3 linked regions of the Neurospora crassa OR74A genome follow. The protein of the gene in region 3 interacts with the protein of the main gene of each other region in a pairwise test. Links are inferred from orthologs where the notes say so. Each region holds a gene or a part of one and is shown on either strand. Other genes may lie near its edges.

Evidence for each region.
Region 1: the proteins of rad23 (region 3) and NCU05363 interact in binary tests that used the Saccharomyces cerevisiae proteins (3 or more experiments, as listed by UniProt). The link is inferred for Neurospora crassa OR74A from reciprocal best matches to the Saccharomyces cerevisiae genes RAD23 and RPT6.
Region 2: the proteins of rad23 (region 3) and NCU05292 interact in a two-hybrid assay, tested with the Saccharomyces cerevisiae proteins (2 studies listed by BioGRID). The link is inferred for Neurospora crassa OR74A from reciprocal best matches to the Saccharomyces cerevisiae genes RAD23 and DDI1.

Annotation. Positions count from the first base shown.
Region 1 is NC_026502.1:1,421,531-1,425,715, forward strand, and holds NCU05363 (26S protease regulatory subunit 8), read left to right. Parts: upstream 1-1,365; 5' UTR 1,366-1,665; coding exon 1,666-1,900; intron 1,901-1,991; coding exon 1,992-2,926; 3' UTR 2,927-3,695; downstream 3,696-4,185. UniProt on the Saccharomyces cerevisiae protein: The 26S proteasome is involved in the ATP-dependent degradation of ubiquitinated proteins. The regulatory (or ATPase) complex confers ATP dependency and substrate specificity to the 26S complex.
Region 2 is NC_026504.1:5,438,503-5,442,427, reverse strand, and holds NCU05292 (DNA damage-inducible protein 1), read left to right. Parts: upstream 1-1,405; 5' UTR 1,406-1,679; coding exon 1,680-1,681; intron 1,682-1,751; coding exon 1,752-2,338; intron 2,339-2,418; coding exon 2,419-3,149; 3' UTR 3,150-3,405; downstream 3,406-3,925. Other genes in the region: NCU05293 (rRNA processing protein Rrp8), read right to left, coding at 3,601-3,925. UniProt on the Saccharomyces cerevisiae protein: Aspartic protease. Appears to act as negative regulator of constitutive exocytosis. May act at the level of secretory vesicle docking and fusion as a competitive inhibitor of SNARE assembly.
Region 3 is NC_026503.1:4,431,843-4,435,848, reverse strand, and holds rad23 (rad23-like protein), read left to right. Parts: upstream 1-1,205; 5' UTR 1,206-1,628; coding exon 1,629-1,646; intron 1,647-1,876; coding exon 1,877-1,924; intron 1,925-2,105; coding exon 2,106-2,178; intron 2,179-2,241; coding exon 2,242-2,321; intron 2,322-2,383; coding exon 2,384-2,728; intron 2,729-2,788; coding exon 2,789-3,376; 3' UTR 3,377-3,876; downstream 3,877-4,006. UniProt on the Saccharomyces cerevisiae protein: Plays a central role both in proteasomal degradation of misfolded proteins and DNA repair.

The sequences.
Region 1 (4,185 bases), on a different chromosome or scaffold from region 3:
TTTTTTTTTTTTTCTCAGGTTTTATCAACCTCAAGGACCCCAAACACCGAGTTGTACAATAGTACTAGTCCTTGCCACTTTTCTCTATTATAAGCACGTAACCATCTCTAGCGACACTCTGCTGCAGCACAGTATCAGTCACGCTGAATGACTTGGATCCAAGTCGCCATCATGATGCCTCGATCCTTGGCAAGTATTGGCGCATCTGGAACCAAGACGGGAACGGCGCGAGGGAGGATTTGATGTGACCGCCGCGTGCACCGGTTGGCCAGCACGGTTCGCTGCCATCATGATGTGGAGGGTGAGAGAAGGCAAATGGTCTCTCCCGGTCGACGCCGGTCTCAGGTCATCATGGACCGTGATGGATGACTGATCCTAGGTTCACCACCAGGGTGGCCGGGCTTCGGTGCCCTGCTTGGCTTGCCGGGTTGACAACCCCCACTCCATCAGCTGAGCTGATATCGCAGGGCTGCCTCACTTCTCATCAGAGGTATATATTGAGTATCACCATGTTGAACCGCGGCGGGTAAGAGGAAAGCACGGTGTAGCATGACTGCGACGGGTATAAAAACGGGTATACGTACGCACTTCAGGACGGTATGCGTAAAAAAATGATTGGTCATTCTCATGGTGGAATAGAGTTTCCTATGCCAAGCGACCGTCCTCTCTCTCATTCACCGAGACTCAACCTTGACTTCGAACCACAAAAATGGTGATCAGTGTTATTTCGGCTTGGAGAAGGCAAAAACTATCTCAGTCACACTGGAGGGGCAAGTTAAGGATCGCTCATATAAGAAGCCACCTGATACCTTAGCTCCCTAGGTAGCCGCCTGAAGAAGGGGTATGTAGCTGAACGACGGGCAGGCTCATGGAAATGAAACATGTGCAGTGTGACATGTGCAGTGCGCCCTCCCTTCAGTCCCATCTATACAGGCTGACGGGCAGTTGGAAAGCTTGAGTAGGAGAAATGAGAATGGGAACAGTAGAAGACAAAAGTAAAACTTGAAAGACGCAGTGCAGAGCGAGTCCTCTCTTATGCTGGATGACGAGCATCTGCAGGGAAAGGTGAGTATGCGTGCTGGTAGCAATCGTGACGGGACCGCGCCGGAGCATGACGAGGACTTTTTTGGAGTTTGGCGAGATTGGATACCACAACCCAGCACTGCACTGCAGCATGTGGAGTCGACGACGCAGCTGGAAGTGACATCATTTCAAAGGGCATCCATCTTCACCTTCAAAGCTCCCCTGCAAGTCTGGAGCCACGAGGTCACGTGTAACCCATCAAAGCACGAGCCTCTGCCGTTTATCGGTACGTACCTTATCCTGACATGGCGCTCTGATACCTAGTCTAGAGGCGGGAGCTGAGTCTTGGCATTGGGAGCCGGCCGGGTGTGTTGCGTTGACCTGAAGCTGCCTGTCTTCAGAAGGTCACCGAACGCCATCACCACCTCCACCCGGCCATTTCACCACCAGTAAACATCACCACCGCAACCCGCCACCACGATCGAGTGTCTGCGCATCGCAACACACAACTAATCTCGACGAGCAAGCGACGACCGAATACCGACCACGCACCCAAGGGCAAACCTATCCCACCTTACACAAAACAAACAATCACTAATCCCCCCCCGCGAGAGCTCCGTCTCTCCCCCACACGCCGTCACCATGGCGCTCGACAACTATTATCACAACAAGATCGAGGCCATGAAGCTCGAGATCCTCAAGGGCCAAGCCGTCCTCCGCCGTCTCGAAGCGCAACGAAATGACTACAACTCGCGTGTGCGCCTGCTCAGGGAAGAGCTCGGTCTGCTACAACAGCCCGGGTCCTATGTGGGTGAGGTCGTCAAGGTTATGAGCACAAAGAAGGTCCTCGTCAAGGTACACCCTGAGGGCAAATATGGTATGCGCACTCCGCCTCCTTCTGGAGTGTCCTGTTTTACGGATGGGTAAACAGATGGAAGTAACTGACCTATTGCCCCGCCGCCTACCAGTTGTCGATGTATCCGACAATGTCGACATCACCAAGCTCACCGTCGGCAAGCGCGTCACCCTTCTCTCAGACTCGTACAAGCTCGAAAAGATGCTTCCCTCCTCAGTAGACCCGCTCGTGTCCCTCATGATGGTCGAAAAGGTGCCCGACAGTACTTACGATATGATTGGTGGTTTGGACCAGCAAATCAAGGAGATCAAGGAGGTGATCGAGCTCGGCCTCAAGCACCCCGAGCTGTTCGAGTCGCTAGGTATCGCCCAACCAAAGGGTGTCCTGCTCTACGGCCCTCCCGGTACCGGCAAGACCCTGCTCGCCCGTGCCGTTGCCCACCACACCGACTGCAAGTTCATCCGTGTCTCGGGTTCCGAGCTCGTGCAAAAGTACATCGGCGAGGGTTCCCGCATGGTACGCGAGCTGTTCGTCATGGCGCGCGAGCACGCGCCCTCCATCATCTTTATGGACGAGATCGACTCCATCGGCTCTTCGCGTGTCGAGGGTTCGTCTGGCGGCGACTCCGAAGTCCAGCGCACCATGCTCGAGCTCCTCAACCAGCTTGACGGTTTCGAGCCCACCAAGAACATCAAGGTTATCATGGCCACCAACCGTCTCGACATTCTCGACCCCGCCCTCTTGCGCCCTGGCCGCATCGACCGCAAGATCGAGTTCCCTCCGCCGAGCGTCGAGGCCCGTGCCGACATTCTGCGCATTCACAGCCGCAAGATGAACCTGACGCGCGGCATCAACCTGACCAAGATCGCCGAGAAGATGAACGGGTGCTCGGGCGCCGAACTCAAGGGTGTCTGTACCGAGGCCGGCATGTACGCCCTCCGCGAGAGGCGCGTGCATGTCACACAGGAGGACTTTGAACTGGCCACGGCCAAGATTCTGAATAAGCATGATGATAAGGAGGTGTCGTTGGCCAAATTGTGGCGTTAAGTCTGCCCGGGGAGGGGAAAAGTGAAGGAAGAGTGGTGGTTTCATGCGTGCAACGATATGATACAGAATACAATAGTACTTTTATGGGAAAAGTAACTGACTCAGCTTTTTTTTACTTTCCTTGGTGCATCACTCTCAAGACTGCCTTTGTCGTCTGCATAGGCTGTCTGAAAGTGTATCGTTTTGTACATTCCAAGATTGAAAGCGGTCCTTGGCAACAACGGAGTATACCTACTCTCTCCTCTAGCGGAATCAACAGAATGGAGATGCAAACATTACCGTTGACTTTCAGACGTATCCTGGGCCCTGTTGCCGCCTTGACTCTGCACTAGGTCATTACCGGATTTCAGAACAACGGTCACACGAAGACGAATATCATGCCGAAACTGAGAGTAAATTGTGCATTGGAATGGCGTCGGTCTCTCGAATGTCAAATGGTTATTTGTAAGCTGCGTGGCCATCCGTGAGGAAGTGGCGAACCCTCATAGTATCTTGAACTACAGTTTCTGTCTTTCAGGGACAACTACAACCTGTAAAGCCGCGCCGGCACGAAAGACAAATACCGAGACGAAAGGATATTGTGCTCCAAGCTACTAACACAAAGTCCCAGCCAAACTCTCACGAAACCGCGCCATGCAAGAACTAACTTACAAACCACAGACCAAAACGAGACGCCTATTCACATGCAAGTTTTCAAGTACTCCAAACACCAGCAGCAGTAATACTTTGAGCGAAGTTCAGGTGATGGCAAATGGTTCATGGTAATGGTAACAATGGAAAACGACAGGAAAAGTGCAGAGAAGGGGGTACTGGGAAACTTGAGGTATACGTAGACAAACGTACGACAACGACAACAACAACAACAACACACACCCAAAAAAAAAAAAAAAAAAAAAAAAAAAGGCAACAACAACGTAACAAGATGATGACACGCTCTCCCACCAACCGGCCAGCCAACCCAAAAATATGCTAGTAGTAGTAATAGTGGTAGTAGTAGTAGTAGTAGCAGTAAAGGAAGACTTTGATCATCATGCCATCTTCATCTCTTCGTCCCTTACTTCCTCGGTTCATCCGTCCATCAGTCCTTTCTCTCTCTCACTCTCCTTCTGTCGCTGTGTGGTCCACCGCCGTGTTGTAAATGGAGACAACAACGGATCAAGAACCATATAATGTATCTATCCCATCCCTTCCATCCCGTTCCATATCCATTCCATTTCCCTTTCCGTGCCAAAATGCTCTTTTCTTTTCGATCTGTCTAT
Region 2 (3,925 bases), on a different chromosome or scaffold from region 3:
CCTACCTATGTATGTACCTACCTGTTCTCAAACGGAACGTCCAGCCCCAATGAAAGTCCCGATGAATGGTATGTACATTCGGCTTAAGGAAGTAAGCCGGAGTCTGGACTGGACTTCACACCGGCTTTGGCGCACGACATCTCAAAACGGGCCAACCTGCCTGCATGAACATGGGGACTTTTGAGACTTGACAAGCCGTGGCGGCCACGGAACGCTGTCAGATACCGAAGTGGACTGAAGGGCAGATGGGGCTGGACGGGTGGGAAAAGCCTTTGTATGCGAGTCATCGGGGCAGGTTGTCGGGATACCTCTAGTTTAAAGGTAGGTATACATCGGAGCTCGGAGGAGGGCCGGTGGACTCTGCCTAGGTTGTTTAGGAGCTTCTTAGAAGTCAACTTGATACAGACCTTGACTTCAACTGTCGCAATCTGATAAGATGGAAACTTCAAAGGAATCATGCAACTTGGGAGCTTGTCCGTGAATTCATACAAACAAGTACCCAAAAATGCTCACCTAGTATCCTTATATAGATAGCACAAGATCAAACAATCATAGCTGCTTATTCTAACCTGGGTATTCCTGTCACCTCAACAGAGAAGTCTCCACGTACTTCCGACAGCTTCCATTGTGCAATTCCTGTAAACAGTTCAAAAAGAGCCAGGTACAGCGTGACAGTTCCAAATTGGATCACAAGCAGAAACCACTGTGTCGTAGCGTGCATAGCACTTACAAGACGATCAAGGTTTGTATGCCCGTCCCGTTTTAGCTCCAGGAACCTGTCACTAGGAACCACTCTCCTGTGGGAACTTCCGAATTGAGCCTCACGCCGTTTCGGCAGATTCGCGAGCATCCACTACTGGAAGCGGAGAGCCTGGCATGCTGGAAGAAGACAAGTCACCCAGAAATGGTTCCCAAAGAGGAAAACACATGACAGTTGGCTTCAGTTCCCCAAGTGAAGCGGAGTACGGAGATACTTTTTTGAAGTTGTCGAGGAAACAAATACGAAGAAGCAAGACGTTGTCATGTCCTCCCGATCGAAACTGGATTTGTTTACATACATGACGGATCGCGATGCTTTCACCGGGCCAACGTAGGTAGTCCTTACAAGTACCGTCCAGTTTTAGCTCCACCAACGGGGAGCTTCCATTCATGTCATCGATGGAGCTGCTAATTGGACAGTCCGATTGCAGCTACATCTTTACTTTGGCCAAGTAAGTACCTGTTGATTCTGGACTTGTACTGTAGTGTATACCTAGGGCGCGGTCAACTGCTACTATTTTCAGGTTACAGTGGTAGCTGTAACACGAACTGGAGCGTGTCAATTGCAACCAACAGTCAGTCCAGGATCCTTGCATAAACAGTCCAGAAAGCTGCGGACGGCTTGCCCCGGACCCACTGGATCGCCCGCGTGCCTGCCTGCCCCAGAGCCCCTCAATAACTGCCACCCGCCCGGCCGCCTCCCTTCACTTTCTGGAATCTTGAACTGTACAATTACTCAGCCTTCTTGCCTTTTTTCCGTTTGTAAACAGCTTTAGAATTCCGCTTCTTCCTCGTTTACACTTTCTCTTCTCCCCCCACTCCCTCATCCAGGCACTCTTCTAGGTTTGGCCGGTGACGCCATCTCTCCAACATCTACTTCCCGCGCTCTTGCTGTCCCGCCTAGGACGAACGACGTCACCATGTAAGCTGATGACAAAAGACAACGAACTGAAGTCGTCACTCCCATAGTCGCTAACTTGAGTCTCTAACAGGCAAATAACCATCGCCATCCAGGACACGACGGGAGACGATCAAGACTTCCTCTCCCTCCAAGTCTTTCCCGACATGACGCTCGAAACGCTGCGCAACTCGATCCAGGCGGAAACCAGCCACCACCCCAGCACACAACACCTCTACCACAACGGCAACCTGATCACCGACAACTCCAAGACCCTGACCCAGCTCAACGTCACCGACGGCGACATGCTGGCCCTCCACGTCCGCGAAACACAACGGGCCACGGCGGTTCCCGAGTCACAGCAAGGAAGGCCAGCGGCGCCCCCTCAACAAGATCCCGAGTTTTTGCGTCTGCAGTTCCTGGCGAATCCGGCTCTGCGGGCCGAGGTGGAGAGGACAGCCCCCGACTTGGCGGCCGCTATCAATGACCCCCAACGGTGGGCGCAGCTCTTCCGGGAGAGGTACGACAGGGAACAGAGGGAAAGGGCGGAGCGTCATCGGATAATCCAGCAGTTGAACGAGGATCCGTTCAATCCGGAGGCGCAGGCGAGGATCGAGGAGATCATTCGCCAGGAGCGGGTTACCGAGAACCTGCAGACTGCTATGGAGCATAATCCTGAGGGTAAGTGAAAGCATAGAGTCGGAGGGTTACCCTGTTGTGGTCGGGAAGCTGCCGCTAACTTCGTTTGCTGTTGTTTGCAGTATTCGGTACCGTACACATGCTGTATCTGGATGTTGAGGTAAACGGGGCCAAGGTCAAGGCCCTCGTGGACTCCGGAGCTCAAGCCACGATCATGAGTCCCGACATTGCCGAGGCGTGTGGTATCATGCGCCTGGTCGACAAGCGGTACGGTGGTATCGCCAAGGGCGTCGGAACTGCCAAAATCATTGGTCGTGTGCACACGGCTCCTGTTAAGATCGGCTCGCTCTTCCTGCCATGCAGTTTCACCGTCATGGAGGGCAAGAATGTGGATATGCTTCTCGGCTTGGACATGTTGAAACGTTACCAGGCTTGTATCGATCTGGCCAAGAACGCGCTCGTCATCCAGGGCGAGGAGATTCCCTTTTTGGGTGAGGCGGACATACCGAAGGCGACGGAGGAGGCGCTTCAGGATGAGCCTACGATTGAGGGTCCCGGCGGCACGACCATCGGCCAGCGTACCGGCGCGGTTTCGGGACCTGGTACTGCACAGCATCGCCAGGGTCAGGCTGGTCCGTCTACTGCTGCACAGCCAGGTCCCTCTGCTCCCGCTCCCGCTCCCGCTTCCGCTTCCGCTCCCGCACCTCGAGCGCCTCAAGCCCGGTCTTTTCCCCGGGAGCATATTGAGCAGCTTGTAGCACTCGGTGCTGATGAGCAAAAGGCGATTCGGGCTTTGGAGGCGACGGACGGGAACGTTGAGTATGCGGCCAGTTTGATCTTTGAGGGGTTCTGATAAATTAAAGGAAGTTGGGAGTTGTTGGCATGAACATAGAGAGCATATATCTGCTTTTAGTGGATCGGATGGAAGCGGCGCAAATCCATGTTATTTGGACGTCAAGAGTTGAATGGACAGTAAAGATATGGTATCGATGTTATAGTCATATGGGCAAGCAAGTAAAAGATCTCCACAACCATTGAAGCGTTCTTAAAACCATGCTTCGCTGCTTGACCAGTTTAATCGGACCCGTTCAATCGAGCTGTAAATACGATGGGACTTGTAGTAGTATAACATACGGACCAGATCGGTATTGACAAGGTCTGTAGCATACAACTACATAGGACAGAGTACGTACCAAGCTTACATATCAATGTCAAGATGAAGTGTGTGTTCAAAGAGGAAGTAGTTCATAAGCCTTTCCATTAACTGACTATTCGTACTGAATCACACACACACATCCGTTCGTCTACCTGATCTTGTACACACACGGCTTCAGAAGAGCGTTCTCGTTGAAGGACGCCTCCTCGTCGGCATCGATGAACTTGGGCGTCTTGATAGGCCGCCCCTTGGCATCCGTCTGCGTCGTCTTGAGCGCCTCCTTCTTCAGGTCCGCACACTTGCCCTTGATGGCCGGCATCGCCTTGACAAAGTGCATCTTGACAAACATTTTGTTATCCATGTCCACCGCCTTCTGGCCATACTCCCTCTGCAGGAGGAATCCTCTCTTCCGCAGCGCCTCCACAAAAGCAGAGACATCCGTCTCCTGCTGCCGGAGCTCCACACCATCCACG
Region 3 (4,006 bases):
GAGATACCACCTTTTCCTCTTCTCCTTCTTCTTCTACTTTCCTTCTTCTTTCCTTTGTATTTTTCATATCTTGGGGGAGGGGAGGAGGATTTTGTTTTGAGGACGTGAATATGATACCTTTGATTGCGAGGCGTTGGACTTGAGTTCCATACCTAAAGATGGGTCTTGGATAGGTGGGATTTGTGTATAGAAAAGCTCGGCTATGGTTGGATAGAAGGATGGCTAGATGATGGATGGATTCAGATAGATGCTTCTCTGCGCTATGCGCGAGACGGACGACTGAAAGATGTAGCGGATGAGAACCGAAGAAGTCAGAACAAAAGATCGTGCCCACGAAATATGCGCGGTGACATTGAGCTGTGATTTTCCATCTAAGCTATGATGCTTAGACGTCCGACCATGACTGCGATGGAGATGTAGGTAGCTTGGAAGCTTGGGAATGGTGATGAGAGAAACCAGAATAAAACGATGTCTGGCTCAAATCATGTTTGCTGCCTTGAAAAGTAACCCCAATGCTACCGTTCCGTCGTTTTTGCGATGATAACCGAAGGGAAGGTTACTCGTAGTCAATTCAATGTCACGATCCACGTCGGGTCACGAACGTGACGGAGGCCTTATCTTATCTGGTGCTCTTTCCAAGGGAGCCTACCAATGCGTATGATTGGTACAGATGGAAGGTGTTCTTCAGCCCCATTTTATACGCGCTTATGAGTGGAGATCTATTACCTAGTATTGCCGTGACACTGCCATAATCAGCGATGACTTCATCTTCTTCATCGCAAAAAAAATTCAAATAGAATAAAAAGAGATGAAAGAAGATGGGTCCTTTGGATTGGCTCACAGCATGACATCAAACATTCCCCTTTGATTTTGCATCAACTTCCATCGCCAACGGAAGCATGTGGTTATCAGTTCAGTGACATTCAAAAGCAAGACTAACAAAGAAAACCAATTCATGTTTTTCAACGCAACAAGGCCAACACAACCTGGAAAGTGAATGGATCCATGGGATCAATCAGTCTGTGTTGTGTGTACAGACGGACGGGATGGCAGCGTGACGACTGTGACCTCTCCACCAGCTCCAGGCGGCAAGATGCCGCGCAGCCCCCCCCGCCTAACAATGGCCGCTGCCTTGTGCCTGTCCACTGCACTTTGCCTGCCGCTTCCCCCCAGCCATTCACTGCCGTAGGTAGCACACCGTGAACCTGGCTACCCGCCTGCTGTGCCCCTCTTCCATTCAGTGCACTCAGGTGAAGCGAACAAACCCCAAATTCTCCGCCTCAAAGCTGCCTCATCAGTCATCACAAGCCGCTGTAAAACGTTCAAGCTTCCCTGCTACCTTCCATATTTCTTGCCACAGCGATTACAACTATCTCCTCCCCTGTATGCCACCTCGCCATCTCTGCGGCAGCCTTCCCACACACATCAACCTTACCACAGCAACCAACTAACCACTTCCACTTTTTTTCCTCGTCCTCGCCCAACTCCGCCGACTGCAACAAATCTTGCTGTCTCCCATCGCGACTCGGAACCCAACGAAGCTCGCCCGTCCGGACAGACTTTACTTACATCATCAGACTCTCAGTGTCAACGTAGCAGCCGTTTAGCTGCGTCGCAGATTGCCCATCATGAAGGTTACTTTCAAGGTACGTGCCCATAAGCTTGCCCATGTCGAGTGTTTGACGTAGCCAGCCAGCCAGCCAGCCAGGCAGACAACGAGCCAGACGTACCGCGATGGCTTCTCAGCAAATTCGGAAACAACCCAGCGTCTTCTTTGAATCCTGTCTGCCTGGTTGGATCAGAGCTCGCTCCCTCTGTCCATAAGCTCTCAAAGTCTATATAGTCAAATACTAACAATGACTGTTCGTTCATCTAGGACCTCAAACAACAAAAGTTTACGCTCGAGATCGAGCCTACCGAGACTGTTGGTTACCCTTCGTCGCCTCCCATTTCCTTACACCCTTTACCTCAGGCCGACGTCATGGAGACATCCAACACGCCGTGACAGCCCTCGACAATCGAATGCTCTGTCGGCGTCGCGAGCCTCCCATGTCGCTTCGGGAGACGTGCATGATGCTGGCGAGCTAGAAGCTAACCGGTTGCAGATTTCCAAGGTCAAGCAGAAGATCTCCGAGGAGAGGGGCTGGGCTCCCGAGCTGCAGAAGCTTATCTACTCCGGTAAGCATCGCTTGCTTCTCAAACGATGGATACCGCTCCCGAATACTGACTTTACCCCAACAGGTAAGATCTTGAAGGATGAGGAGACCGTCGAGTCGTACAAGATCGAGGAGAAGGGCTTCGTTGTCTGCGTCGTGAACAAGGTACTATTTCCCCCGTTATTACTCACGTCCTTGTACAAAGATGAAGCTGACACTTTGCGCAGCCCAAGACCACTGCCCCCAAGCCAGCCGAGTCGTCGTCGTCTGCCGCTGCCCCCGCTACCCCCGCTGCCGCCGCCCCGGCCTCAACACCTGCTCCCCCTGCCGCTCCCGCGGCCTCCAGCGCTGCTGCCGCTGCCCCTTCGACGCCGACGCCCGCTAGAACCGCTGCGGCTCCTGAGGCGGCCCCAGCTGCCGGTGCTCGCGATGCCAACGCCCTTGCCATGGGCGAGCAGCGCGCCGAGGCCATTGCCAACATGGAGGCTATGGGTTTCGAGCGTTCGCAGATTGACGCTGCTATGCGTGCCGCCTTTTTCAACCCCGAGCGCGCTGTGGAGTATCTCTTGAACGTACGTTTCACAACTCATTCCACTTTCCGATCTATGTCTGGTTTACTGACACAGCTTTAGGGTATTCCCGCCAACCTCCAGCAACAAACTGCCTCTCGCCAGCCTTCTGCCGCTCCGGCTGCTGCCCCTGCTGCTGCCGCTCAGGCGGCTTCCCCCGCTGCTGCCGGTGGTGATGATGACGATCAAGTCAACCTTTTCGACCTTGCCGCTCAGCTCGGCAACAGCGCTGGCGGACGTGGTGCTCGTGGTGCGGAGGGTGCTGGTGCCGAGGCCGCTGGTCTTGGTAACCTCGACTTCCTCCGCAACAACGCGCAATTCCAGCAAATGCGTCAGCTTGTACAGGAGCAGCCCCAGATGCTGGAGCCTATCTTGCAACAGCTCGGTGCCGGCAACCCTCAGCTTGCCCAGATGATCGCCCAGAACTCGGATCAGTTCCTGAACCTCCTTGGCGAGGGTGGTGAGGGTGGCTCTGTCGGTATTGCTGTCACAGAAGAGGAACGCGATGCCATTGAGCGTCTCACCCGCCTGGGCTTTCCCCAGGACCAGGCCATCCAGGCCTACTTCGCTTGCGACAAGGACGAGGAGCTTGCCGCCAACTTCCTTTTCGATCAAGGACCGGAGGAAGATGACGACATGCCCCAACAATAAATAGGGGTGAGACTGTAGGCTGGAATGAGATATTTTTGGGTTTTTCGTAACTGGGCGTTAAAAGTCGTTGGCAGGGTGGATTTTCGTTAGCAGCTGCCTTTGCATTTGAAATGTGGGCGACGGCTGGATGGTTTGGGCTTGCTTAGGATGCATTGGAGACTTTATGATGACATTATACCTTAGGGAGCTCAAAATGCTCAACACTGCTGATCAACGTTCACATGCAATATACGGGTGGGCTTTGTGTGTCTGATCTATCCACTGCGCGACAGGTTTCGACGAGTTTTAGTAAGGAAGCATCAAGAGTGAATGGGGTGATGACACTGAAAAAAATGCTTCGCGGAGATCTAGATCAAGGATAACTACAGAGGTGTGGTGTTTTCACAGCTTACGAATCACTCTATTCTTTATGTACTCTATAGTCCTGTCCCTTGAAGAGTGAACGAAGCATTCCCATCACGAACCATAACCAGCAATGAAAACGAAGATAAGATCCGAGACCATGAAACCGTCCGCATACAAGTAGTATGATCAAGAACCCTTTTTTTTTGTGTGTCTCCATTTGTTTTTCCCTTCCCTATTTCCATACCTAACTAAGTGCCCCTCCGGTTGATGGGTATATAAAACCTA